Nothobranchius furzeri: one gene and its partner. The protein of the gene in region 1 binds, or shares a complex with, the protein of each later gene. Links are inferred from orthologs where the notes say so. Each region holds a gene or a part of one and is shown on either strand. Other genes may lie near its edges. The genes, in order: cdhr5b and anks4b.

What was found.
Region 2: cdhr5b (region 1) and anks4b share a complex: the UniProt entries of both Homo sapiens proteins name them as parts of the IMAC/intermicrovillar adhesion complex. The link is inferred for Nothobranchius furzeri from reciprocal best matches to the Homo sapiens genes CDHR5 and ANKS4B.

The regions. Positions count from the first base shown.
Region 1 is NC_091754.1:42,619,858-42,623,679, forward strand, and holds part of cdhr5b (cadherin-related family member 5), read left to right. Parts: intron 1-2,309; coding exon 2,310-2,485; intron 2,486-2,578; coding exon 2,579-2,629; intron 2,630-2,747; coding exon 2,748-2,837; intron 2,838-2,922; coding exon 2,923-3,009; intron 3,010-3,128; coding exon 3,129-3,230; intron 3,231-3,328; coding exon 3,329-3,514; intron 3,515-3,621; coding exon 3,622-3,712; intron 3,713-3,777; coding exon 3,778-3,822. UniProt on the Homo sapiens protein: Intermicrovillar adhesion molecule that forms, via its extracellular domain, calcium-dependent heterophilic complexes with CDHR2 on adjacent microvilli. Thereby, controls the packing of microvilli at the apical membrane of epithelial cells.
Region 2 is NC_091752.1:56,799,301-56,803,695, reverse strand, and holds the start of anks4b (ankyrin repeat and SAM domain-containing protein 4B), read right to left. Parts: upstream 2,860-4,395; 5' UTR 2,629-2,859; coding exon 2,468-2,628; intron 1-2,467. UniProt on the Homo sapiens protein: As part of the intermicrovillar adhesion complex/IMAC plays a role in epithelial brush border differentiation, controlling microvilli organization and length. Plays a role in assembly of the complex.

The DNA of each region.
Region 1 (3,822 bases):
GGGTAGGTTCGCGGCTGAGTGTGAAGCAGCTGGGATGAGGATCAGCACCTCCAAATCTGAGACCATGGTTCTCGACCGGAAAAGGGTGGCTTGCCAACTCCGGGTCGGGAGAGAGGTCCTACCTCAAGTGGAGGAATTTAAGTATCTCGGGGTCTTGTTCACGAGTGAGGGTAGGAGGGATTGGGAGATCGACAGCCAGATTGGTTCAGCATCTGCAGTGATGCGGACGCTTAGCTGATCTGTCGTGGAAAAGAGGGAGCTGAGCCAGAAAGCCAGGCTCTCGATTTACCGGTCGATCTACGTCCCAATCCTCACCTATGGTCATGAGCTTTGGGTAATGACCGAAAGAACGAGATCCCGGATACAAGCAGCCAAAATGAGTTTCCTCCGTAGGGTGGCTGGGCTCAGCCTTAGAGATAGGGTGAGGAGCTCGGACATTCGGGAGGGACTCGGAGTAGACCCGCTGCTCCTCCGGATCGAAAGGAGTCAGTTGAGGTGGTTTGGGCATCTGGTCAGGATGCCTCCTGGACGCCTCCCTGGGGAGGTGTTTCGGGCATGTCCTGCTGGCAGGAGCCCCCCGGGTCGACCCAGGACACATTGGAGAGGTTTCATCTCCAATCTGGTCCAGGAACGCCTTGGGGTCCTGCTGGAGGAACTGGTGGAGGTGGCCGGGGAGAGGACGGTCTGGAGTCCCTAGTTGGGATGCTGCCCCCACAACCCGGACCCGGATAAGCGGAGGAAGATGACGACGACGAAAACAGACTAAAGAAGTGAACAAATGGCCACATAAAAGTCTTCATTGCATAAAATTGTGCCTCAGACTGTTTTAATGAACATCTCCTTCTAGATTTGGTGGATTATTAATTTGTGGTGGGTGGAGACATGAGTAATTAACTACCAGCATGGACACTGGGAGTTCCTGAAAGTGGATTTCATAATAAAGTGTGTAGGGTAGAATCAGAGAAATCCTATTGTTGTGCGAGTGTCAACAGCTCCAACTCCAACCCCCTTAAAAAGGAAAATTCCTCATTTTAACAACATTTACTGTAATTGTTATTTGTTTTCAACCTGAAACTCAGTTATATTCTTAGGAACTTTCTTCAGCGACTCCAGATTGAACCCCAACAGAGCATCTTTAGTCCACATCTACACACGGAGTAACTGTTATAATGTCCTACTTTTTAGAATAAGACCAACATCTGTAGAAATTTTGAACATGTTTTTTTTTCTTGTTGCCGCGCCACACAGTGCTGGTGCTCGCAGGTGATCCTGTCAACGTTGGTCAGCCCGTGAAACCCAGATTCAGGGGTTTGCTGTCAGAAAACATCAGATCTGACTAAACCTTTGTGACTTAAATGAGAATATCATTCACTCTCAGTGAAGTGAATTTTTCTGTGACAAGTTAAAACTGGTTTCCAAATGTTGTCAGTATTGTTCAGGATGCTTTCATCCCTTCAAATACGACTTAGAGGTTTTCTAATATGAAATCTGGTTTTATTTAAAAATCTGGTTCAATAAATGAATACATTTAATTTAAATTTCAAAGATGTTTCAATTCAAATGCTGCAAAAGTTTTGAAATTTGGTGCATTTTACTCTGAAATGAAAATGTTCTTTAGTTCATGAGTTTAATTTGTATTTTCTGTGGATAATAATCCAAACGGGATTCGTGTTGTCAGGAAGTCAGAACTTCTATAGTGTTCTAATTTGGAAATTATGAATGTAAGGAATATATTGTTAACTCTTGTCTGATAGATGAGGGGGGAAATTACTTGATCTGATCTTTTTCTTACCTTTTCGACGTTGTTTAATGTAAAGTTTTGTTCTGTACAAAGTTAAATTACAGCAATCCAACCAAACAGAGCCTGGATTTGTATTCTGAACAGTTTAAGGAGACGTGTGTGACGCGTCAAAAAGCAGAACCTGCTCAACTATTAAAACCACTAATGGTGAAAAACATCTAAATGTTGTAGCAACTTCTGCATCAATATTATACAAACTGTTTGAATCATTCTTTTCTGCTGAAAGAGAACTTTGACGTACACGAGCGACCGCTGTTGTTTGCCATCAACTGTCGTGATTGGTTAAAGCAGCTCTCGGCTGTGGGCCCAAGTGCAAGTGGGTGGGCTCAGGTCCGGTAGGCCCCACCCACAACACCAGTGTTGTCTTTCCTGTGGGAAACGGGTAACAATGGCTCTTCGATGGGAAAAGGTTGCCGACCCCTGGCTTACACCAAACACGTGTTCTTATACTTGATGTTGGATTTTGTCTCCATCAGACTAATAACTGAATTTCTTTCTCTACCAACAGTCTGCGACGCCCCTTCCGCCGTAAACTTTGCAGAAAACAACAAAGTGGGCGATCCTGTGACAACCATCTTTGTCCAAGCTGGAGTGATCCTTGAACTGACCTCCACAGACATCCCCTTTAGACTTGATGCAAACCAGCTAATAGCTACAGCTGTGCTGGACTATGAAAACACAGAGGTCAGGACTGATGCTATTTCTGGCTGAGACTCGTTTTTATTCATCAGTTCATATTTTCTTTACTATAGGAATGCTTTCTAATTGTATTTCCAGACCCAAATCTTTTCTGTTGGCGTCCTCTGCAGGTTAGAAGAAGTATCTCAAGTAAGACTGGATTTTATTATTTTAACAATAATGAAGCATTTGAAGCAAATATGTAAAACTAAAGTTAAAACTCCACAGCAGCAACAAAGTTCATTCAGATGAAAGCTTTTGTTTCCAGAGAACCCTCAGAATCACCATTCTTGTGGAAAATCTAAACGACAACCCGCCCGTTTTTGACCAGAATGTGTACCACGCCAGTGCCAACGAGGTAGTATTATAGTAGTATTGTGATTCCGTTGGTGTTTTCTTCCTCCCCCCTGACGGCCTTATGTTGAGGGACATGTCCTCCACAGCTGTCTCCCATAGACACAACTGTAGGAAGGTTTGCTGCCACAGATGCTGATGGACCTCGGATCTTCTACCAGCTGGCATCTTCCCCAGTAAGAATCGAGGTTTTTTCTGGTTTGTTTTGTCATCCTTGATCTCCTTCTCTCACCACTCCAGAGCCATCATCCCAGATCCATGATTTATCTGTTTTTATTTATTGTTTTTTTGATAGAGTGAGTTTAAACTCAAGTCATCCATTATCCCAGAAATCCTCGTTAACGGGCGCCTCGACTATGAAAAAGTCAAAGAGTATCAGCTTGTGCTGGAAGCCCAGGTGAGTATTGCTGTCTGGGGATATTTAGATTTTATTCCACCATAAGGTGGAAAAAACGGCTTATTTTTCTAGAGTAAGCAGCCATTTTAATGTCGTAGGACACGCCGCTGGCGTCACCACCTGAGGAAACCTCTTTTACTGCCACCACAACCATCATGATCTCCATCTTGGATGTTGACAACAGACCTCCTTGGTTCCAACCTTGCCACCAAACTGAAGTGAATGGAGCTGTGGTCTGTGAGACAACTGGCTACACTGGCAAAGTTGACCTAGATGAACAAGTGGTGAGTTGCCTCTGTTCCACAGCGCCGACTCCAGATCAGCTGCTGACAGAATATTTTTATGTGTTGCTGCTTTTGAAAAGCTAAACAAGTGTTTTGTTCCTGTTCAGACTGGAGTCCTACCCCTGAAACCAGGTCCTCTCTATGCCATTGATGGAGACTTTGGGATAAATGAGCCGATTAGATACTCGTTCCTTTCCGGTAAGGAGCTTAGAGTTGCAGTGGTTGTTATTCCTGAAGCAGCTCAGTCTGTGTTTGTGTTTTAGAAAATGAACCGGGCCTTTTTGTAATCAACCAAGACACCGGAAACA
Region 2 (4,395 bases), on another chromosome or scaffold:
GTGGTATTGCAACAATAGGACAAATTTTCCAGCAGCTGGGATGTTGGTTCACTGCTGACACGTTTCAGCACCCTGTTCCAGTAGATGTAAACATAAAGCCAGTGTCATGCCCAACAAAATAAAAATTTGATTATGCATTTTTTAAATATAGCTTTTAAAGGAGAAACTGTACATTCATCCTGCACCTCTAAACGCCCTGTGGGGGTATTATTTAAAAAATAAGAAAAGTGTTCCATATTTTAACTTTAAAGTTTAGCTCAACAACGTGTCTTTTGCAGCTCAAAACAGATGCAGAGGAGAAAGGAATGAAAACGAAGTAGGCCTTATTATAGATGTCGAGAAAACCTTGCAAAAACGATAAAACAAAGATTATTATTGTTGTCAGTTAGTAAAATTAATTTTTGTATGAACAAAATAACTTTCATCATGTTTTTTCCAACTCTGATATATATTAATAATGTTTTCTTCTTTGTAGTTAACATTATCTGTGCAAAAATGTGTATTTGAATAAAAACAAAAAAGTGTTTATATGCAAAGGAAATGATAAATATTGTATTTGAGCTCACAACAGATAGACTTTTACAGCACCATCAGTGGTTAAGTCAGATCGATACTGTTCAAGGTTTAAAATATATATTTTTTTTCAATGAAGGTTGGATAGATTGATTGAAAACAATAATATTTTAAACCATGAACAATATGGATTTAGGACAAAACATCTAACTTCAATGGCAATAATGGCATTAACAGAAAGCCATCAGTAACACTCGCTATAGAGAGCCATGTAACCCTTTATTTATGTTTATGTTTATTTATTTGGCAGACGTACAAAGTGACGTACAATGTTTCAACCTATAGGGCATGTTGTGATCTGTGGGGGAAGCTCACGCATGCATGGGGAGAGCATGCAACTCCACGCAGAAAGTCTACAACCGAGTTTCGAACCCTTAGTTATTATAACTTTTTTTGCTGATAAACTGAAAAAAATGAGTGTCTAATCATGCTGTAGACATGTGTAGTCAATAATTAGGCACTTTAGTGCATCTTAATTCAAATTTAAAAATTCTGCCAAACTGTCAGTATTGCGCCATCTTCAGGTAAAAACTCAGCACTGCATGTGTATTTTAATCTGCTGTCGTTATTGGCTTAGAGGTACCCTATGACATCAGCTGGTACCATGTGATGTTACAATGCCATTGTGAGCCTGTGTGTGTGTGTGTGTGTGTGTTTGTTAGCGGCTTCGCCCTCAGGCAACGGCATTTGTTGCATTTTCAAACAGGAAGTGGGAGTGGAGTAAGACTCTGGTAGGGGGTGACTTGCTCTTTAATGTATTTTAAAAAGGTGTCAAATTAAATGTATTAAGAAATTATATAAATATGAATTAAGATGGTGTCTGCAAAGTGAGTGTGCAAGTTGAATTTGTTGAGGGGGATGAATTTTATGTTGCTTTAGTAAAAAAAAATAAGATTTTTTTCTTCTCTCTGTTCCTTTTCATTCTTTGTTTTTTTCTGTGTGTGTTGTTGTAAATATTCCATGTTTTTGTTCTTATTTTCGTCTTGTTCTTTGAAATAAATAAATAAATAAATAATAAAAAAAAGTAGACACACGTTGGTTAAACACGTCTCCATGTATTTAATCTGAGTGTTTATCATTAAGAGCGCTGGCAACATGCTTGTGCTTTGCTGATCAAACTATTTTATTTATAAATGAATGGGAAATATAGTTATTTATTTATTCATTTATTATTATTCTTTACTTTTCGATAACCTTCAAAAAGCAGTCTCTTCACAAATCTCCCTTTGTGTTGTGTAATATAAAAGTAAAATAAAAACCACAATATTATTGTGTTATAACATAATAAGTGTGTTAAAATCAGTGGTTTACAGAATGAGCTGTTGCTATTGAGCTGTTAAACTGGAAGGCCTTTAATGGTTTTCCTTCCTGTTGGAGCCATAAAAGCTTTAATCGCTACAGGAGTTTATTATGAAGCCCAGATCTGACTGGTTCTGATAAAAAGACTTAACTTCTGATTTAGGTCATGTATCAAACATATTCTCTGGGTCTCAGGCTAGATTTTAACCAGTCCTTTGTTGCTGTTAATGGAGCCAAGGTGGGGGTACTGGGGGATAGATGGCTGAATGAAAGGCTCTTTTGTTTTACAGAACAAATAAAAAATTTTGGCTCTGCTCAAAGGAGAATGTGGAAGAAAGATGGAAAACATCAACCGGTGTAAATAAAGTCCCATAAAAATCAATTGAATGAAAAAGAAGCCATAAAACACCTTCTACGGTAACGCTGACCTTTGCTCCTTTGCTGTTATTTATGACTTATTGTTAATCTTAATTTAATTCTCTAGGGAGGAATAATTCATTTGTGAATAGCAGTGATCATAATAACAGACAGAGTTCTGATCCACAAACAGCCTGATTTCAGACTAATCCTGGTTGGATAATAGAAAGTAACTTACTCTCTGCTGCATATGAGCTGAAGAGCGTTGACGTGTCCATGAAAAGCAGCCAGTAGGGTGGGAGTCATCCCATCATCATCTGCGGTGTTCAGGTGCTTCCTTGTTGCCTCCTTCAAGAGGTCCAAGTTACCATCGATCGCTGCCTTGTGGTACCTCGACATCTTTCAAATGAATGTGTTGCTGCCTCCTCTGACCACAGAATTGGAACAGCGATGGCTGACCCGAGCAAACAAAGTGATCACTGGGCGTGTGAGCAGCTGAGCTATAAAACAAAGTCCAGCTTGATGTCGTCAGTTCCTGCTTTAACTATCATCCCTGAAAGCACAAGTATCACAACAGACATGTGACCAGTTAAAGAGGATACCAGTTTAAAAGTTTCCTACATAAGGAACCCAGCAAATTGCATCGAGTCACTAACTAGTGTCAGTGACTTTACAGCAATCCTCATACTAAGCAAGCATTTAGCGACAGTGGAGAGGAAAACTCCCTTTTAACAGGAAGAAACCTCCAGAGGATCCTGGCTCAGAATAAGCAGCCATCCACCACGACTCACTGGGGCTGGAGAAGACAGAGCACACACACACACACACACACACACACACACACACACACACACACACACACACACACACACACACACACACACACACACACACACACACACACACACACACACACACACACACACACACACACACACACACACACACACACACACACACACACACACACACACACACACACACACACCACACAACATATATACCAAGTAGTGTTTCTATGGTTACATTGTGATTTCTTAGTAAATATTCTATTTGGTGAGAGATAAACTTTATTGTATTTATCCTAGTGAATCTATAATTAAATGGGTAAACTAGTAGTAGCACATTCAATGTCAAAGAAAGTTAAATTGTATTATCAGGAGAGGGAGAATGTTTAAGTGGTTAGCAACAGTGTTCAAGCCAATGGCCCCCTCCATGAGGCCACCACAGCTCAGCAGAACATCATTCTAGCTTCTTCTGGGGAGAAAAACACTTAGAGAAAAAACATAAACAGCTGAAATAGCAGAAAGTAATACAGTTAAAGAGCAAATTGTAGAAGAAAGTTGTAGAGTGTAGAAAGTGGTCAGTGTGTCCTCCAGCAGTCTAAGCCTATAGCAGCATAACTACAGAGATAACTCTGGATAACCTAGCCTTTTAGGTGGAAGCATGTTGGAGGCAGGGCAAGGGAGAGTCGTTTTTACCGACTGTACACTCCACCTCCCTCTACTCCCTCACTTGTCCAGATTTGGGCTAACATCAGATTTTAACCATAGACCCTATCAAATAATTTAAGTCCAGTCTTAAAAGTAGACAAGGTGTCTGCCTCATGGACTAAAGCTGGGAGCTGGTTCCACAGGAGAGGAGCCTGATAGCTAAAAGAACTTTCTCCCATCCTATTTTTAGATATTCTGGGAACCACCAGCAAACTTGCAGTCTGAGAGTGAAGTGTTCGGTTAGGAACATATGGAATAATCAGGTCACTTATGGAAGATGGAGCTTGATTATTAAGAGCTTTATGTGTGAGAAGGAGGATCTTAAAATCTATTCTGAATTTAACAGGCAGCCAATGTAGGAAAGCTGTAATGGATCTACGTAGTTAATTATGACCAATAAGATGTGATGATTCCAAATAAATATGAAATATCAACCTAATTGATCTTTGAATGCTTAAACAGAAGAGTTTAGGATTTTTTGCTTGTTTAGGGACCATTAACAAAATTCGTATTAATTCAGGCAGAGTCAAGTATATAGAAAACTAGTTATAATACATGACAAGCTATGAATGATGGTATGTGATGGAGTGTATATGCGGTGACATAATGTGTGTTGTAGGTGGTGTGGTGTAAAGTAGATGTGTATCAGACCCTTTGTATCTAAAAGAAATTG